2 linked regions of the Bombyx mori genome follow. Each later gene encodes a partner of the first gene's protein in a complex. Links are inferred from orthologs where the notes say so. Each region holds a gene or a part of one and is shown in the gene's direction. Other genes may lie near its edges.

Region 1 (3,931 bases):
TATTTACAGTCGTTTTTTAAAATCCTTTTGAGTCTCTTTTATAGTTTTGTTTTATTGTTGTTTTATAATAGATGTTAGGAATTTTGTTTTGTGTTATATTAAAATAATAGAACGGATATGTGCAAAAAGTGAGAAAATTTAAGAAGTGAGAAAAACAAAAGTTAATGGAAGGTTGTATGAATAATGTAAGATTTGTATGTGTGATGTGAATTCAAATGTTGAATTTGTTGAAGTTGTGCGAGGTTATTTGTTATGAGTTATGTGGTTTGTGAGTGGAGTTGAAGGTGATTAAGGTTAAAGAAGTTAAGAGGGAGATTGACGTTAAATAAGTTGAGAAGGAGATAAAGGAGTTTAAAGGAGTTTAGAGGTAAAAGAGTCGAGTAGGAGTTTAAAGGTAAAAGTAGGAGCTTAAAGGTTATAGAGGTCGAGAAGGAGTTTTAAAGGTAATAGAGTCAAGAAGGAGTTAAAGGTTAAAGAGTCGAGAAGGAGTTAAAGGTTAAAGAGTCGAGAAGGAGTTAAAGGTTAAAGAATCGAGAAGGAGTTAAAGGTTAAAGAGTCGAGAAGGAGTTAAAGGTTAAAGAGTCGAGAAGGAGTTAAAGGGTTAAAGAGTCGAGAAGGCGTTTAAGGTTATTAAAGAGGTTGAGAAGGCGTTTAAGGTTATTAAAGAGGTTGAGAAGGCGTTTAAGGTTATTAAAGAGGTTGAGAAGGCGTTTAAGGTTATTAAAGAGGTTGAGAAGGCGTTTAAGGTTATTAAAGTAAAGAGGTTGAGAAGGCGTTTAAGGTTATTAAAGTAAAGAGGTTGAGAAGGCGTTTAAGGTTATTAAAGTAAAGAGGTTGAGAAGGCGTTAAAAGTTTTAAATAAACTTGAAGAGTTTATGTAGGAAGTCGAGAAGGAGTTAGACTATTATAGTTAAGGTTTTATATAGTGAGTCAAGAGGGAAGTTAAGGTTGAATGGTTGTATGGTTGAATGAAAGTACATTTTTGATCGAATTGGAGTTGGAGAAGTAAGAAAGGATTAAAGGTAGCGACATTAAAGATAGTATTAAGTTTGAAAGGTTGAATGAATAGTTGTTGGTTGAATTGAGAGGGATTATGTAGAAGTGGCGGAATGTAAGTGGTTGTGAGGTTTTTTAGGTATGTATGGAAAGAATTAATTTATGAAGGTCAGGTTAGCGTTATTTTTTTTTGGTATTAAATTATAGATGGAGAAAAATGTGTGCAAGTGTTGAGGGGGTGTGTTGGAGTTTGTATATTAAATGTAATGGCAGGCAACACTTGACACTTGATTAGATTTCGAATATTGGAATTATTTTAAATGTTTTAAAAAACAGATCATTGTATTCTCGTAAGAAAATGTCAGTTACTTCTCATCTAGACACGGCATGAAAAACATGTAATAGTTTTATAAAAAATATAAAGATAAAAATTGTATAATGGTGTAAAAGTGTTAAAGCTATCTGCAATATAATTATAATGAAGCAGTTGTGTTTTTAAATAGCCCCTCATCACCTACAGAACCCAATCCCTTCAAAAGATAACCGTCCAACAGTCTCAAATTAATCATCTTCATTTCATTTCACTCTATATTATAATTTTTCATAAAAATAAGAATATAAATTAAAATAAGACATGTCTAGACAGACGGTCTAGGCTACCAAGCCATAAAATTAAAAAAAGTAACAACAACAACATAACAGACATAACCTAAAATAATTTTTTTTTCACTAGATATTTTGTTTAAGTTGTAATGTAAAAAATTCAGTGGATACTAATTAAGATTTAACTAATTTATATAGAAAAATGACTAGATCACAAAATAAATTAAAAACAAAGGAACAGTTAAACACACCTATAGCTAAACGCGTGGAAAATACGTGGATTTTACTTGCAAAAGGTAATAAAAACGCTACGTATGTTAATTGTTTTTGTCATTTACGTTAATAAATTGTAATAATAGTCTTTATAATGCAGAGTCCTTATTGCAAAACAAGAATTTTCGATTTATCAATCTATCACATCCAGCGACTGGCAAAATAACAAAATATTGTTTGGAAGATGTCAGCAACAAAATATTTGAAGTCGTAACATATAACGAACCACATCGATCGTGGTTTATAGGAGAAACAGTAAAATCTGATCCTAGTATGCAAATTTTGACTCCGATAAATCCATTATTTTTAAGTAAGTATAGTATTTTTTTTAATTTGAACACATCTTAATCATTTTATACATTTTATTTCATATACAGATTATAAACCTTGAATAATGAAGTTAATGTCATATTTGAAACAATAGTTTTTCAATTATTCATTATTTGCTTTGATATAATATGTACTTATATGGCTGGGTGGTCGCAAACTCGTAGCCAATCTGGTTATAAGTGGTTTCTTTAGTTTATAGATATCACAAAGTAAATGATAGTGATCACCCTCTGATGTGGGATTGAAATCTCAATAGTATTATTCAGTCATTTACAGGATACCCTATAATTATGTTAAATAATAAATTTTATTATAAACTTAAGCACATTGATATGTGTTGGGTAACAAGTCAGTTCACCGTGTATCTGTTTTTATACAAACCGTACTTAGGAATCCTAATTATTAAAAGGAGAACAAGTACCCTCACGAATACACTACAGCCTGCAAACAGCACATCTGATGTTTTTGGCAGGTTTGATATTATTCCTTCCTCAATGAAAGATTATTTGTGAACACAAATTCCTTTTAAAAATTCAGTGAAATATTATTCACCAATTTCCAATAAATATAGTTTAACCAAGCAAAAAATTAAGTAATTCAGTACATTCGGAATGCAGACAATTTCTTTTTAATACCTTTACATCTTTCAGTACTTCCAAAAGTGAAGAGTCAATGCACTAGTAAAGCAGTACCTTTGGAGGATTTACTATCTGACAAGGGATATGATCAAATTGTGAATACTGTGAAAGATCTGGAAAAAATAGCTGACCGTAAGGTATATGAACAATCAAATATATTTTCCACATAAATACCTTAAAAATATAAAATAATTATATTTAAAAATATAAAATAATTATATTTTTTGTTCACATGATTTTGAATCTTAATCAATTTGATCATAATACCATTATATTGAATGTAGCAGAATCAACAGTAAACTCCCTTGCATGTTTACTCAACTTTTATTTGTTCTGATTCTGTTGCTTTTATGGATAGCAGAATTAAAATTAATTGTAGTGAAATAACTGTCATTAAATTGAAATACATGTCCAGTTCGCAGTAGCAATGAGTGAGTTGGTAGTACTTTATGGGTTCACATTACACATATAATAGAAACCATTATTATGATTATTAGCACTATTATAATTTTTTTCCACATCAAATTGAAAAAATTTTGTAGGGTCCAGTAGAGTTGAAAGCATACAAATATAATGAAGAAAAAACCTACAAATGGCTAGAGGACAGGATCCGGAATCTTGCTAAAGTACTGAAAGAAAAAAATCTGCATGTAACAGCTGGAGCCGTATCAGCGACATTTGTTTCTAGCAATTTAAACAATGTTGAAATTGAAGAAGGTACCAATACGACTAGTATACTCTACAAGTTAAAGAAGTTGATCTTTGTCATCTAAACTGCCGCGGAGACCGGCGCCGTAGGTCGTCAACTATCACCTCGACGACCCGTCGGTTGGACGTACTAGGAGTGGCGCCGCGAGTCTGGTTGTAGTGTTGACTGCGAGAATCCCCTTACTCTGACCGGGTTCTGACCTCGGGCGGGTATGAAGTCGTTGTGGCCTCAAGGATAAGATGTGAAGATGAGATTGACTTCCACGATGAAGGAATAAAAAAATTATATTACGCAAATTATAATTTGCGTAATTAATGGTGGTAGGACCTCTTGTGAGACCACACGGATAGGTACCAACACACTGCCTATTTCTGCCTTGAAG
Region 2 (3,931 bases), on another chromosome or scaffold:
AACTAGACTTAGAATCTAACATCCCAGGGAAATGATTATTCATATGTTTTCGGAGCTCCCAGTAACTTGGGAATTTTTCTGAGCACATTCGACATGGATGCTTCCTTTCATCACTAGACTTTGCACTACATTGGTGTGAAGCAAGCAACTGTTCATTGGAAAACATTTGATTACACTGGTTGCACACATGACTAGCATCAGAATCGGTTGATAGAGTGACTTCCAAGTAGTTTTCAATTGACATAACATTCCCATTGGAGCTATCTGGATCATCTCCATTTAATGGTATGATTTGGTCTCTATCGGTTATGATATCTTTGGTATCCATTTTCTCGATATAATCTTTGTAACCCAGTGAATCTTTATCTGAATTGTTGTTATCAGGCTCTACTAGATGTAGAACGGGCGACACGCTTTGATCTCTTTCAGGCGAACCCTTCTCGTTATCAGATTGCTCAGGCCGTGATGATACGTTGTTGTCCGATTCCCATTCATTTTCGACAATTTCTACGTCGGAATCGGAATCTTCAACACTCGACACTGTTGTTCTATTGTTTTCCAAATGGAATCCGATATCATCGAAACGCAGGACATTCGAAGGAAGTTTAACCCCCACTATTGCTTCAATCGCCTGCCATGAAAGCTCCTGGGGGTTGTTCTGCATATTAGATCGGACTAATCTAACCTACAAACCAGTGTTCAACCATTATAAAATTTAAACCTTTGATACGATAAATTAAAATTATGTTAAAATATTACCTTTTATGTGCACGGCCAACAATTTATTATTATTTTTGGATGACGCCCTTGTTTTCTACATCTAAAAATATTATGCTTTGCACTTGCACTAATCTTTTTTTGCGGAATTTATGGTCATCATAGATTAGACTTCACAAACGAGATTTATGGATTTTAATGGCATAGATCACAGAGGAAACTGGAAAGTGCATTTGTTGGATATGAGTCTCCTTTGATAATATATAATTAGGACCAGCAAGTGTGGCTGTACGATATTCCCAATTTTTTTCTACAAAGTTCTTCCAATTACGATAATCAGTTTTTATTCATCAAGATCATAGTTTTATTGATCAAGTATCATTTTAACACGAAAGTTGTACTCCTAAAATATTCTTAGAATAATTAGAAATCACTTAAATTTCTATATGCTTGTTAATATTCAATATCATTAAAAATAACTGAATTTATTAAAACCGCGCTAATCGTACTTTAACGAATAATTGGCCGTCTTCACTGAAATTTTTTTGTTGATGTATTATTGAAGTTTGTTGAAGTTTTCAATACCGGCGCATGCGCAATGTAGTCGTAAGGTGATTGATTGCTTATTAGAGATAAAATAATTAATAATTGGGAATTTAATTGTTTTGAACATCGAACAATCACTAATAGTCATCGAACAAACTATAATTGATCAAGTTTAATTAATCTAAGCGATAAAAATAAAGATATCTAGTAAAGGGAGCCAACTTTAGGGTGATCATTTATTTAATTAATTATAAAGAAATAAAAGACGAAATTTTTTACATTCGAACATTAACAAACAAACTACGAACAAATAATTAAAAATAAGAAAATAAAATTTTCAATGATCTTCAGTTTCACTATTCAATGTGTGACAATTGACTTTGACAGACAAATTGTTTACTTTAAATTAATACCTACGTAATCCAAGAAGTTATTTATTAATTAATCAAATGGCATTTATTGGGTATGTAAAGTAAAAGTAAAGTAAATAAGATTTTTTAGGTATACATTAAAACTGAGACGTAATCAATAATATGAACTCACTACAAGAATTACAGGCAATTATTAAATCCAAAGATAATTTCACTAAATTTGTCATAAATTCTGAAGTACCGGCTGTCTGCAAAAATGAACCTTGCATGCTCGGAGTGGATGAAGCAGGCCGTGGTCCTGTGCTCGGTAAGAAACTTAAAATGTGGTGAAAAAATAGATCTAATATTGAGATCTATCCATAATTATAATTATAATTTAAAAAAATGTACTAGTTACAGTTATTTTACAGTAGGGTCTCATAGGTTTATACGGTTTGTATCAATCTTATTATAGTGAATTTCATAGGTTTTTTATAAAGTGTAGTTAGTACAGTTAAGATTGTAGAAATGTATGACATGTATTTTACAATATTCATCAAATAAATAGCATTAGGATTGTTACTGTTAATCTAGTGTGTTTTGTTTTAGGACCTATGGTGTATGGAGTATCCTACTGCCCTCTAAATCGAAAGAGTATTTTGGAGGAATTGGGCTGTGCTGACTCTAAAGCTCTTACGGAAGCTAAAAGGGATGAAATATTCACAAAGATGTTGACTGAGGAAGACAGCCTCAATAATGTTGGCTGGGCTGTTGAAGTCATATCACCTAATTACATTTCCAATTCAATGTACAGACGAGCCAAATGTTCATTAAATGAAGTAAGTTTTGTTTGCTCTTTGATTCATATACACTCACTGTTAAAGGTGGGGATATTAGTGGAGTGAACTCCTGAATTCATTGAGGCTCTCATGGAAAAAATTTATAATAATATTTAAGTGTAATTAAAAAAATCATATTTAATTTAAATTTTAAATAAAAAACTAAGAATGCTTTTTTATGAATTTGGTGAAAGTATAAAATATTAAAAAATATTAAAAATATGTAAGCGAGACACAAAATTACAGTAGAACCACTTATTAGAAGTAATACATTGTTAGTGAGCGGTCATCAATAATTACCAGACTATTGCGTGAATTTGGCACATGTTGAAGAGGTGGACATCATTTAATGTGCTTCACATTACTGTTGAAAAGTTGTCAATTCATTTTTGTTTCGGGTAGGAATTATTAGACGACCCTTTGCTTATGTGTTGAAGGCAGTGCATGTCAGAGTTGAATCTTCTAAAGTCCTCTGTCACTCAACAACCTGTGTTTGTGTATCGGATGAGATAAAATTTTAGCAAGGTAGCCTGGGGGTAAGGGCACACTTATTAAAAGAGTCAATGCTATCATCTTGAGGTCCAAGTTCCAATTTTATAGTATAATAGCTATCATCTTTTAAATTGCAGTGCATTATTGCTTTACGGCAAAAAGCTCTGCTTGCTTCAATATAAGAATATTGCAATACTTATGTTACTGTTACAGGTGTCAATGAATTCTGCAATAGATTTAATTAAGAAAGCTGCAGAAAGTGGTGTCAATATTACAGAAGTTTATGTGGACACAGTGGGGCCTCCAGAGAAATATCAAACAAAATTATCTGAAATATTTCCTTCTTACAAAATAACTGTAAGTATATTTGTTACACATAATAAAACTAAAAATGATTGCAAAACTTATTTTAAAGAGTGAATTATACTGTAAGGTATATGGTATATAAATGTCATTCATTTCTGTTTTTTTATATTTAGCATAATAATAATTGTCCAGGAAAAATGGATAGTATTTTAAGTAGTATATTGTATTACTTAAATATGTATTGTACATAAACTCGATTATTAAAGGAGAACTTATATTGATATGAGTTTGGAATTAAAAACTGTAATTAATGTTTCAAGGTGGCGAAAAAGGCCGACTCCATCTATCCCATAGTATCAGCAGCAAGTATTGTGGCTAAAGTAACCAGAGATCATGCACTAAAAGTATGGCATTTTAATGAGGGACTACAATTGGATCACACAGAATTTGGCAGTGGATATCCGGGAGGTGAGTTTTTCACATTATTTTTTACTAAATGTTTCAAAACACTACCAAAGTTCTGAATACTAGATATTGGGTTAATAAACGAGGATATACAGCATCATGTATTAGAAAATCTTTAGCAACAAGTAATTTGATCAAGCAAAATGAGCTCAGTCACCCATATAACAATAAACAAAAAAATATTAATCTTTGGGTGGGTGTAACTTTTGAAGGAAT

What was found.
Region 2: the proteins of ribonuclease H2 subunit B (region 1) and ribonuclease H2 subunit A are in contact, whole or in part, in a crystal structure (PDB 3PUF), measured with the Homo sapiens proteins. The link is inferred for Bombyx mori from reciprocal best matches to the Homo sapiens genes RNASEH2B and RNASEH2A. Residues at the interface, in NP_078846.2 of Homo sapiens: His16, Phe18, Lys39, Asn42, Gly48, Ala49, Ile50, Val63, Lys64, Val65, Phe66, Lys67, His70, Phe74, Val79, His86, Phe87, Val183, Tyr211, Gly214, Leu215, Asp218, Tyr219; in NP_006388.2 of Homo sapiens: Val227, Phe228, Ile253, Trp254, Glu255, Ser284, His285, Tyr287, Phe288, Arg291, Gly292, Leu293, Glu294, Ser295, Ala296, Thr297, Ser298, Leu299.

The regions. Positions count from the first base shown.
Region 1 is NC_085121.1:12,180,283-12,184,213, reverse strand, and holds the start of ribonuclease H2 subunit B, read left to right. Parts: upstream 1-1,625; 5' UTR 1,626-1,801; coding exon 1,802-1,895; intron 1,896-1,972; coding exon 1,973-2,182; intron 2,183-2,852; coding exon 2,853-2,977; intron 2,978-3,382; coding exon 3,383-3,557; intron 3,558-3,931. UniProt on the Homo sapiens protein: Non catalytic subunit of RNase H2, an endonuclease that specifically degrades the RNA of RNA:DNA hybrids. Participates in DNA replication, possibly by mediating the removal of lagging-strand Okazaki fragment RNA primers during DNA replication.
Region 2 is NC_085129.1:8,832,985-8,836,915, reverse strand, and holds the start of ribonuclease H2 subunit A, read left to right. Parts: upstream 1-1,567; 5' UTR 1,568-1,796; coding exon 1,797-1,941; intron 1,942-2,222; coding exon 2,223-2,452; intron 2,453-3,157; coding exon 3,158-3,301; intron 3,302-3,570; coding exon 3,571-3,718; intron 3,719-3,931. Other genes in the region: zinc finger protein 16, read right to left, coding at 1-664. UniProt on the Homo sapiens protein: Catalytic subunit of RNase HII, an endonuclease that specifically degrades the RNA of RNA:DNA hybrids. Participates in DNA replication, possibly by mediating the removal of lagging-strand Okazaki fragment RNA primers during DNA replication.